Linked DNA regions of Arabidopsis thaliana. The protein of the gene in region 1 interacts with the protein of each later gene in a biochemical or structural test. Each region holds a gene or a part of one and is shown on either strand. Other genes may lie near its edges.

Evidence for each region.
Region 2: the proteins of HRB1 (region 1) and PP7 form a complex in vitro, tested with the Arabidopsis thaliana proteins (one study listed by BioGRID).

The regions. Positions count from the first base shown.
Region 1 is NC_003076.8:19,958,059-19,962,627, reverse strand, and holds HRB1 (Drought-responsive family protein), read left to right. Parts: upstream 1-1,946; 5' UTR 1,947-2,205; coding exon 2,206-2,284; intron 2,285-2,374; coding exon 2,375-2,511; intron 2,512-2,985; coding exon 2,986-3,063; intron 3,064-3,154; coding exon 3,155-3,390; intron 3,391-3,474; coding exon 3,475-3,580; 3' UTR 3,581-3,756; downstream 3,757-4,569. Other genes in the region: AT5G49220 (hypothetical protein (DUF789)), read right to left, coding at 4,175-4,398, 4,490-4,569. UniProt on the Arabidopsis thaliana protein: Involved in both red and blue light signaling.
Region 2 is NC_003076.8:25,560,255-25,565,240, reverse strand, and holds PP7 (serine/threonine phosphatase 7), read left to right. Parts: upstream 1-1,924; 5' UTR 1,925-2,082; intron 2,083-2,316; exon of another isoform or gene 2,317-2,327; 5' UTR 2,328-2,332; coding exon 2,333-2,728; intron 2,729-2,806; coding exon 2,807-3,301; coding exon of another isoform or gene 3,302-3,316; exon of another isoform or gene 3,317-3,389; coding exon 3,390-3,536; intron 3,537-3,611; coding exon 3,612-3,719; intron 3,720-3,809; coding exon 3,810-3,905; 3' UTR 3,906-4,171; downstream 4,172-4,986. Other genes in the region: VPS20.1 (SNF7 family protein), read right to left, coding at 1-8, 104-245, 327-482, 617-769, 864-1,016, 1,250-1,351. UniProt on the Arabidopsis thaliana protein: Phosphatase active on para-nitrophenylphosphate (pNPP) and on various phosphoproteins such as myelin basic protein.

The DNA.
Region 1 (4,569 bases):
CGTTATCACGATCTTCATCTCTTTTTGCAAAGCTTCTTCATGATCATAATTTGAGTTTTTCAAAATTAAAATGGATCCTCTAAGCTTTTATTTATTTATTTAATTTATATAGTTAGATCCAAAGCTAAACAAAGGTAAAAAAAAAAAAAGGAATAAGATTCTTACAATTTAGAAAAACTATAAACATTGTGAGGTAAAAACTCAACTAATTAATGTATGTCTAACTATCAAATATAACAAACTAAACATTTTGCTATAAAAACTCAACCAGTCAGTTTAAAACACTCATAAACATAAAATTGCTATATAGAGAAATGACTCTTGTGTCAAAATTAAATTACTATCCAAATTTTCCTTATTGATTTCAAAAATTCAAAATTTGTAATTTTGTTTCATGTATTTTCTTTTTTGAATTTTTATTTAAAATATTTTAGTGGATTTATCATAAGGAGTTTCGAAGTTAACATTAGTGATATGAAAATATATAAAGAGAAAAATCAAACAGAAACAAAAGTTTAAGAGATCGGATGAAACTAAATTGGTCGAAATGAATAGATATTTAATCAATAACAAAAGGAAATAGCTATTGAAAATTGTGAAAACAAATGACAGAAAAATGGTTTTGAGAAATATGTCAACAAAAAAAAAGAGTTGGAATTAAGCATCAAACTACTTCTATAAAATTTTAATAGAGATATTCTTCACTAATTACTCCAACAACCTTTAATTTTTATAACAAATTGCAGTTTTTAAAAAATCATAAGTAAATGAATGAACGATGAAGTATCACATTTATGTTAATTTCAGTTCGAATTATGAATAAAAAACCAAAATACTTGTTAAGAAAAAAAAACCAGTTTGTTTTTGTTCTTAACAAAAAAAAGGAAATTGGGGATCTTTTTGTGCGTGACCATAAGTATTTTTACTTTACAAAATTTGCATGCATAAATTTTAGTATTAAAATAATATATTTACTTTATAAAAACTCATATGATATTGGCTCTAAAAAAAATAACAAGACTAAATTAAAAGTGAAGTTAACCATGATAACTGTAAGAAACATTGTTAGGATTAAAATCTTATAAGGTAATATCATACTTTAATTTATGAAAAAAAGAAAGTCTTAGAGAGCCTTACTTATTAATTTTTTAAATAAAATTCTCTTGAACAATATCTTCCTTTTCAAATATTAATGTAAAACTTTTTTTTTTTTTAATACCAATATTAATGTAAAACTTATGTAAACCAAAACCTTCTACATCGTCGTTAGCAACCGGTTTAACAATTTTTATGAGTTGCTTTCTTTTTTTAATTATCACTTTAGGTGACTCTCCTTTTCAGTTGCTTTTAAACCTTGTACTGTTCTCCCACTTCTCCTTGCTTATATATTGATCAAAAGCTCTTGAAATGTAGGAAAAATACGGTTCATATAAAACTTCCTTAATCAATCTTAGAAGAAAAATCGGAAAACTTTTTTGATCAGAAGTTTCGTTCGATATATGTCTTGAGCTCTAGGGTATAGTTTCAAAGATTCTAACATGAGATATGGTCGAAGTCAAAGTCAAAAGACCTTGGGACTCAACACGTCAAATCACGAAGCTTATAATAGTATGTCCGATCAAGAAAAGATACAATGCTCGATCAATTGATTTTAATATTTTATATTGTAAAAAATTATATAAAAAAAACACATTCCTCTCCATAAAAATTTTGTAGTAGATTAACCATTATCAAAAATAATAGTAGCATAATTAAAAAGCTTAAATATTTCCCCAACATCAAGAAAACCAAGGTTGCTAATATATTTTTTTTGTCAGAATTTTTAAAAAAATAGTGGTTCATGTCAATGTCATTTGCTATCCACTTTTCTACTAAAACCAAAACTTGGATACAAAAAATTAGATGGAAAAAGGAAGGAAAAAACAAAAAGCACACGAGCCAGAAAAAGTCACACGTGTGAAAGTGAAACATAATGAACGCAGTACAAAACACAACTACCACTAGTTTCGGTTTGGTCAAGACTGTAAATACTCAAACAAACTCCGAACCAGTAGTAGTAGTTCTGGTCACAGCTCTTTGTTTCCACTCTCTCTCTCTCTACCTCTCACATCGTTCTACTTCTAGGGTTTGGCTAATTTAGATTCAACATCTCCTTTAAAATTCTCTGTTCTTTTGTATTCCTAATCTTTAACAATTTAAGAAGAAATGGATTCGAATTCATGGATCAATTGTCCCCCTGTGTTTTCATCATCGCCTTCTTCACGCCGTTACCAATCTCGATCAGGTTTGTTTAAAAAAATGCTTGAGGTAGATTGATTATGTAAAGTTTCATCCTTTGTTCTGAATTGATGGTGATTAACACTTTTTGACGCAGATTTGTATTTGGGAGATGTTGAAGGAGAAGACGATTTGAAAGCTGAGTTTATGTGTCCTTTTTGTGCAGATGAGTTTGATATTGTTGGTCTTTGTTGTCATATTGATGTGAATCATCCTGTTGAAGCTAAGAATGGGGTAATGTTCATTGAGTTTTTTTTATTTCAAGAGTTTCATGATGATTCTTAGGTTTTATATTTAGGTTTAAATTTCCAAATCTCTAAGCTTTCCTGAAATAGAAAAAGTTGCTTTTCAGTTTTAACCCATTGTTTAGCTTAATCAAGTGAGCATTGTAATTACCATTTGTAGAAGATTATATAATCAGTAATTTAGGGTCTCTTATGTGTCATCTTTGATATGAGAACAGAGTGCTTAAATGATCATCCGCATTTTACATTTACATGTTATTCTTAGATTGATTATGTTTATACTTAGGTTTGATTTCCAAATCGTGAAACTTGCTTGTAATGGAAAAGGTTGCTTTTTTACGCAGTGTTTAGCTTAGTCAAGTGAGCATTGTAATCTCGCAGTGCTTCTGGATTAGAAAGTTATTTAGGTTCTCTTATGTGCTATCTTTGATGTGAGAACAGTATGTTTTTGCTTTGTTACTAGGTTTGTCCTGTCTGCACAAAGAAGGTGGGATTGGACATTGTTGGCCATATAACAACGCAACACGGGAACGTATTTAAGATATCCTTTTGAAACTTTGATATTCTCTTTTAACGGTTTTAGTAGAGTTTGAAGAGTCATTTTGTGTATTCCTTGACGTGAGAGATTTTACGTGCAGCGAAGAAGAAGGTTGCGTAAAGGTGGATATAGCTCTACCTATCTTACTCTTAAAAAAGAGCTTCGAGAAGCTAACTTACAGTCTCTTGGAGGGTCTTCCACTTTCATTCCCTCTTCCAATATAGATTCTGATCCTCTACTCTCATCCTTTATGTTTAAACCCCCTTCGGCTATACCTATCACTGAAGGAGACTCGGTAGCACAAGTCTCACCTAAGGACACCTCTAAAAGGTATAATTCCATACTGTATTCTCAAAAAAATGTGTCGCTTCCGTTTGTTTTCTCACAGTGCCTGTTTTTATCATTCCTTTACAGCAAAATACAACAAGAATCATTCTCAAACGAAGATCAAGAGAAGGCAAAGAAGAGCAAGTTTGTGCGGGGCTTGCTTTGGTCAACCATGCTTGAAGACAAGTTCTAATTTATCTAGATATCTTATATTGTAATCAATGTATCAAGAAATCATACATTAGTCTCAATGTATGTAGCAGAGGCTTGTAGCAAGCATAATGGCATGCTGAGTATGTTGTAATCGGATGTTCGTGGGGTATCTTTTATGTGCATAATCAGAAGATATATAAGTACTATTTCACTCTACTCAGGACTCGTAAAATTAGCCAACGCTTAAAACTTTTCAGTATAAAACTTATAAGCCAACCCTGTGTTTCATCAGTTCAGCAATCAAATTGTATCACAAAAAGTGTTGCATCTCAACATTACAAAAACACTCCTCGCAAATTTCACTATATGGGCTCCTCAAATCCTTATTCAGGGAAAATCAAAAGACTAAGTTTCAGAAGAAGAAAGAGGAAGATTAGGCTACAATTCACAAAGCATCTTCTGGAAACGAAACAGCAGAGACTCTTAAATCGCCTGAAAAACACGCAAGAGTCTAACCACTATTTGGTGGTTCTTCAGTGTAAGAGAGACTTTATATGTGAAGTAAGAGCAGCAGATAATGGGTCTTTTGATCAGACCAGAGCCAAATCCATGGTCAAGAATGTATCTTTCATTTTCACCTCATTTGTGGACTGTTAGAGGTGAAGAATCTGTAGTCTGGATGATCAACTTGCAGACGCTTGAGCCATTTATCTGCAGCTTGTAGCAAAGAAGTCATCTTTTGGGACTCTTGAATTCTATTTTGGTTCCACACAGATACTTTCAGCTTATAAGATGCGAGTCCAAAAGTAGGCAACGGTAGCTTTGTGGATGGTTGTGAATCACTACAACCCATAGCACCTGCTCCAATACATACACAACACTGAGAAAGAGATCACAAGTACGAGGACATAAGAGGATATTGTGTTCCATTACGTCATCGGGTGCTTACTTTGAGGAGGTGCTGTTGAGAGAGAGTGAAAAGTTAGAAAGCAGGCATCAAGATTTTGTAGTGTTGGACCAACCGGTATT
Region 2 (4,986 bases), 5.6 Mb from region 1:
TTCGAGAACTGCAACACGAAAGTAACAGACCAAATAAAACATGTCTTGAGTTTAGTTCTTGCAATTCTAACAAGGAAAAGAAGAAGAAGACGAAAGGAAAAACCTTTTGTTTTTGTGGCGGACTCAGCTGGTGTGATTTCCGCATTGGAAGCGACAGGAGTTTTTGTTGGCACATCCGGAAGATCCAGCTTCTCAGATTCTTCAGACTCCTTTGTAGGCACTTCAGGCATCTCATCAACAATAAGCTTTAAGCAAAACACACATCAACATTAGTCTCTTTATCTAGTAAAGATAATAATACACAAATTTATTTTGTAAACCCATACCTGACTTTCTAGGTTGTCAAATTCTGCTAATATATCTTCCTCATCCTCTGCTGATAGTTTCTCTCCCAATATAGCGTTCAGCTCCTGACATTCGGAAATGTAAATAGAGTCATCAAACACAAAAGCTCGACAAAAAAGATTATAGAGGTTTTCACACTAGACGAGCTCAGAACAAACTGTGCCACACAAAGCAGTGATCAAATAAGAAGATATTTACATTCTGACAAAGCGGATAACGTAATAATGAATCATAAACAAATGATACGAAACCCGAAAGTATTTTGACTCACATCTTGATAAGCTTTAGCATCAGCAGTATCATCCATTAGTTTTTGAACATCATCAAGGTCCAATTCGCTTTGAATGGCCTTAATAGCACTATTACCCTGCTTTAAGCTCTCAAACACTGCCTTTTGTTTGCTCGTAAGTTCAATATCTGTTAACTGCGAGTTCACATGAAAGTTTGAGAAAGCCATAATTATGCATCAAAAGAGACGATGCCGGATACAAAACATACACACAAGGAGAAGGATTTACTTGTTGTTCAACATTGATGACCCATTGATCCACTTGCTTCAATAACTCTTCTTGAGTTCGTTTCTTCCTCAATGCTAACAAAGCTCTGTCCTTTCGCTTTTCACGGATTAAGTCTCTTGCAGCTTGCTTTTCCGCTTCAATTACTTTCTCAAGCTAAATTAGCAAAAAAAATGAGAAGATCGGTTAACAAAGAGATGAGCCAAAGAACTCAAAAGCTTGAGTCTTTCTTTTCCATCACACTACTAACAATCATAAGACACATATTGTGAAACGAATCAAATCCAATCTCCAATTAGGATTTTGGATGAATCAAAACTATATGATCTGGGTTCCAAAAGAAATTGTAACAAAAGAAAATTAAGATATAAGAAGAGAGAATAAAAAACCTTCTGCTGATATTGACCAAGCTTGCGTCTTTGGGTTTTGAGAGAGAGAATCGCTCGATCAACCTCCGTGATCTGTGGTTTCTTCACGAACAAATTCCCCATCTTTTCTTCACTTATCGAAACCAACGATTCGGAAAATCAAACGAGCAGAAGAAAATTTAGCAAGATTTGATCTTTTGACGAAATTGATTATTAGTCTCTAGATTTCCCAAAAATGTCGCCAATTTCAAACCAAAGTCCAATTTTTGTGTTTCTTCTCTCTTTCTGCTTTTCAGTACAAATATCTCAAAATAGAGGAAAAGCATGAACCGGACCGAAAAAATGTAAAAATCGATATCGAACCGATTTTAGTCGGTTTGATTTCATCCACACTGAAAAATAAAAAAATCGAAACCAAACAAAAATTCCTTGGATAGTACCGTAAACAAAATCAAGCTGAAATCGATAAGTAACCGAATAGACCAATGTATAATTCGGTCTCCCAATTTTGTTCAAGTTTATATCAAAACCAGAACAAACCGGTTGGCCACCTTTAACAAAATCTCGAACTCGCGTTTTCGATAGCGCGTGATTGCAAAACGCTATTGCAGCGTCACGACAAAAAAGGTTTGTTCGTTTATTAAACCGGCCGGTTTGGAATCATGAATTTGATTTGAATCCTTTTAGCTGGTTAACCGACGTCGTTTGAGTAAATGGATCCAAAGCCAGACAGATCCTAAATCTCGTCGACGACGGTGTCGGGACTGAAAGCAGAGAGAAAGCAAAGTAAGCTAGCTTAGCTAGGTCCAAGATCCAAGCTTTGGAATTTTGTAAATTGTCTCCACTCTTAGCCGGTGAGTCTCACTCTGTTCCGAATTATTCTTTGTGATATGGATTTCGATTTCCCATGATTCGATTTTGTACTTTTTGCTCTTCTCTTGAGTTTAAAGATGTACGAATGAATATATACAGATTCGATTTTATGTTCTGGTGGCTTTGATCGCTGAAATTTGAAAACTTTGTCTATGTTTCGATTGCTTGATACTCTTGTTTCACATGTTCATACTCTGGAATTGATTATAGATTAGTGTTTTTACAGTTTTAATGGAAACTGTTCCACCATCTCCCATTACATGGCCAGATGGGGGAGCTCTCACTAACGACTGGGTACATGGGCTTATGTCGTGTTTCGAATGGTCTTCATGGAATCTACCTCCTTCCCAGTTACCTTCACTATTGCCTGTCAACGTCTTTGATTCCCTCGTCCTCACCGCTCATAAAATCCTCCACAAAGAACGTAACTGCGTTCATATCGATGATCTTGACTCTGTATCCAACGTTGTTGTGGTTGGTGACATTCATGGTCAGCTTCATGACCTTCTTTTCCTATTGAAAGATACTGGCTTTCCTTGTCAAAACCGGTGTTATGTTTTCAACGGAGACTATGTGGATCGCGGTGCTTGGGGACTTGAAACCTTCCTTGTTCTCTTGTCCTGGAAGGTAAACTCTTTACTAAGCTGTTTTACTATTGGCTCAAGTCTTAGTATTCTTAAAGCACATATCTTTTTGGTTGTTTAGGTTTTGATGCCGGACAGAGTCTACCTACTCCGTGGTAATCATGAGTCAAAGTATTGTACATCTATGTATGGTTTCGAGAAGGAAGTGCTTACAAAATACGGAGACAAGGGAAAACATGTGTACCGGAAATGTTTGGGTTGCTTTGAAGGTCTTCCTTTGGCTTCCATAATTTCTGGACGTGTTTATACAGCACATGGAGGGCTTTTCCGCAGCCCAGTCTTGCCTAAGCGAACAACAAGGGGGAAAAAGAACCGTCGGGTAGTTCTTCTGGAACCTGAGCCGAGCTCAATGAAACTCGGTACCTTAGATGAGTTGATGCAAGCTCGAAGATCAGTTCTTGATCCTCCTTGGGAAGGTTCAAACTTGATACCAGGAGACGTTTTATGGTCTGATCCTTCAATGACTCCGGGCCTTTCACCAAATGAACAGAGAGGCATTGGTCTTCTTTGGGGTCCCGATTGTACAGAGGATTTTTTGAAGAAATATGAACTGAAGGTGACACCAAAGTAGATATTGATGCTTGTTTGCTTCCCAAATACTGATATGGATGATTGGATCAAATGTTTTACACTTATTGGTGCAGTTGATCATCAGATCACATGAAGGTCCAGATGCTAGAGAGAAGAGAACTGGTCTTGGTGGAATGGACAATGGATATACAATAGACCACAATGTCGAATCCGGAAAGCTTATCACTATTTTCAGTGCACCTGACTATCCGCAATTCCAAGTATGTATTTTTACGCCTTTGGTATTTGCATTTTCTAAAGATATGCGTTAACAATCATTTTTGTGTGTGGTGTAGGCAACAGAAGAGAGGTACAAAAACAAAGGAGCATATATTATTTTGCAGGCGCCTGATTTCTCGGATCCTCAATTTCATAGTTTCGAAGCTGTTAAACCGCGACCAAAGGTAACTAACTTACGATGCTGATAATGAACCAACGAGTTGTTTTACTTCTTTGATACACATACATAGCGACATCGGTTTTTAAATGTGCAGGCGCATCCATATTATGACTTTGAAAATGTCATTGATTCTGATGATGAGATGGATAAGTCAGCAATGGACACCAATAACGAACAACCAAATAGCTGACCGAAGCTGAAAAGGAGTATCTTGAATTGATGTTTTTTACAGTTGTTGTGATTGCTCATTATTTGCAAACATAAAATGGAATCAAATGTAAAGAAAAGAGATGAAGAAAATCATTTGTAGAATTCACATTTAAGTTATGTATGGAAGATGAAGAAATAAGAACCATCTTAAATCTCATGTAGTTCTTAGTTTCTTGGTTCCTACACGTCTTATTTAAACCTAAATCTTGTAAGATTTTGCTCTGTTTTGTCAGGTTAGCCTAAATCTTGAGAGGTCAAACTTGCAGTAACTTTCATTGTATAGAATTGCTTTTAACTGAATGATAAATCGAGTAGTAGATTAGTCCAATGGAAGTTTGTGGATCAAGTTATGTGTCTGTCGGCATTATAGTTTTCCTTTGAAATATTGACACATTACTAGAATCTTATCCAACAAAAAATTGTGTGGTTATGAAAATCCTAAGTAACGAGACAGCTTATTAAATGCCGAATTTGGTAGCAATTTGTTCAGATGAATGTATGTCTTCTTGTAAAAGACAGTATGAAGTGGAGGTTGATGCTAACTATCTTATGGTTCCTTATTGCACTTTGAAGCATTTATTGCAATTGTTTTCGGTTTTTTCTCTTGAGTGGGCTAAACTAATAATGGTCTGTTCTTTCTCTAAAGAGAGAAGAATTCGACAGGAGCGTGAAGCATCTTCATTCGCAAATATAACACATTAAAGCTACCTCTAGCATCATCTGTGTGATTCTCTCCAAGGTCATTCGTTGTCTGTCACGGGGCATCTCAAGTAATAAAGCTTAAAGTTAACTGTCTTTTCAGCCAAATAGTTTCATCATCTAAATATTCACATGATCTTCCATATTTCATCACCGATTATGGTTACAACATTTTTGCAAACCCTAAAATTTGTGTTATCGCCAAACTTGACCCTTATACCGGAACCCATGTGGGTGGGTGTTGATTTTTACTGTTTTGTAATTTGTTCATCGACAATCATTGACATGTACTCACCGCAATGTTTTTTCTTTCCTAGTTTCATGTGCATATATGTCTCTAAACAGTAATTGTTTAGCACTTC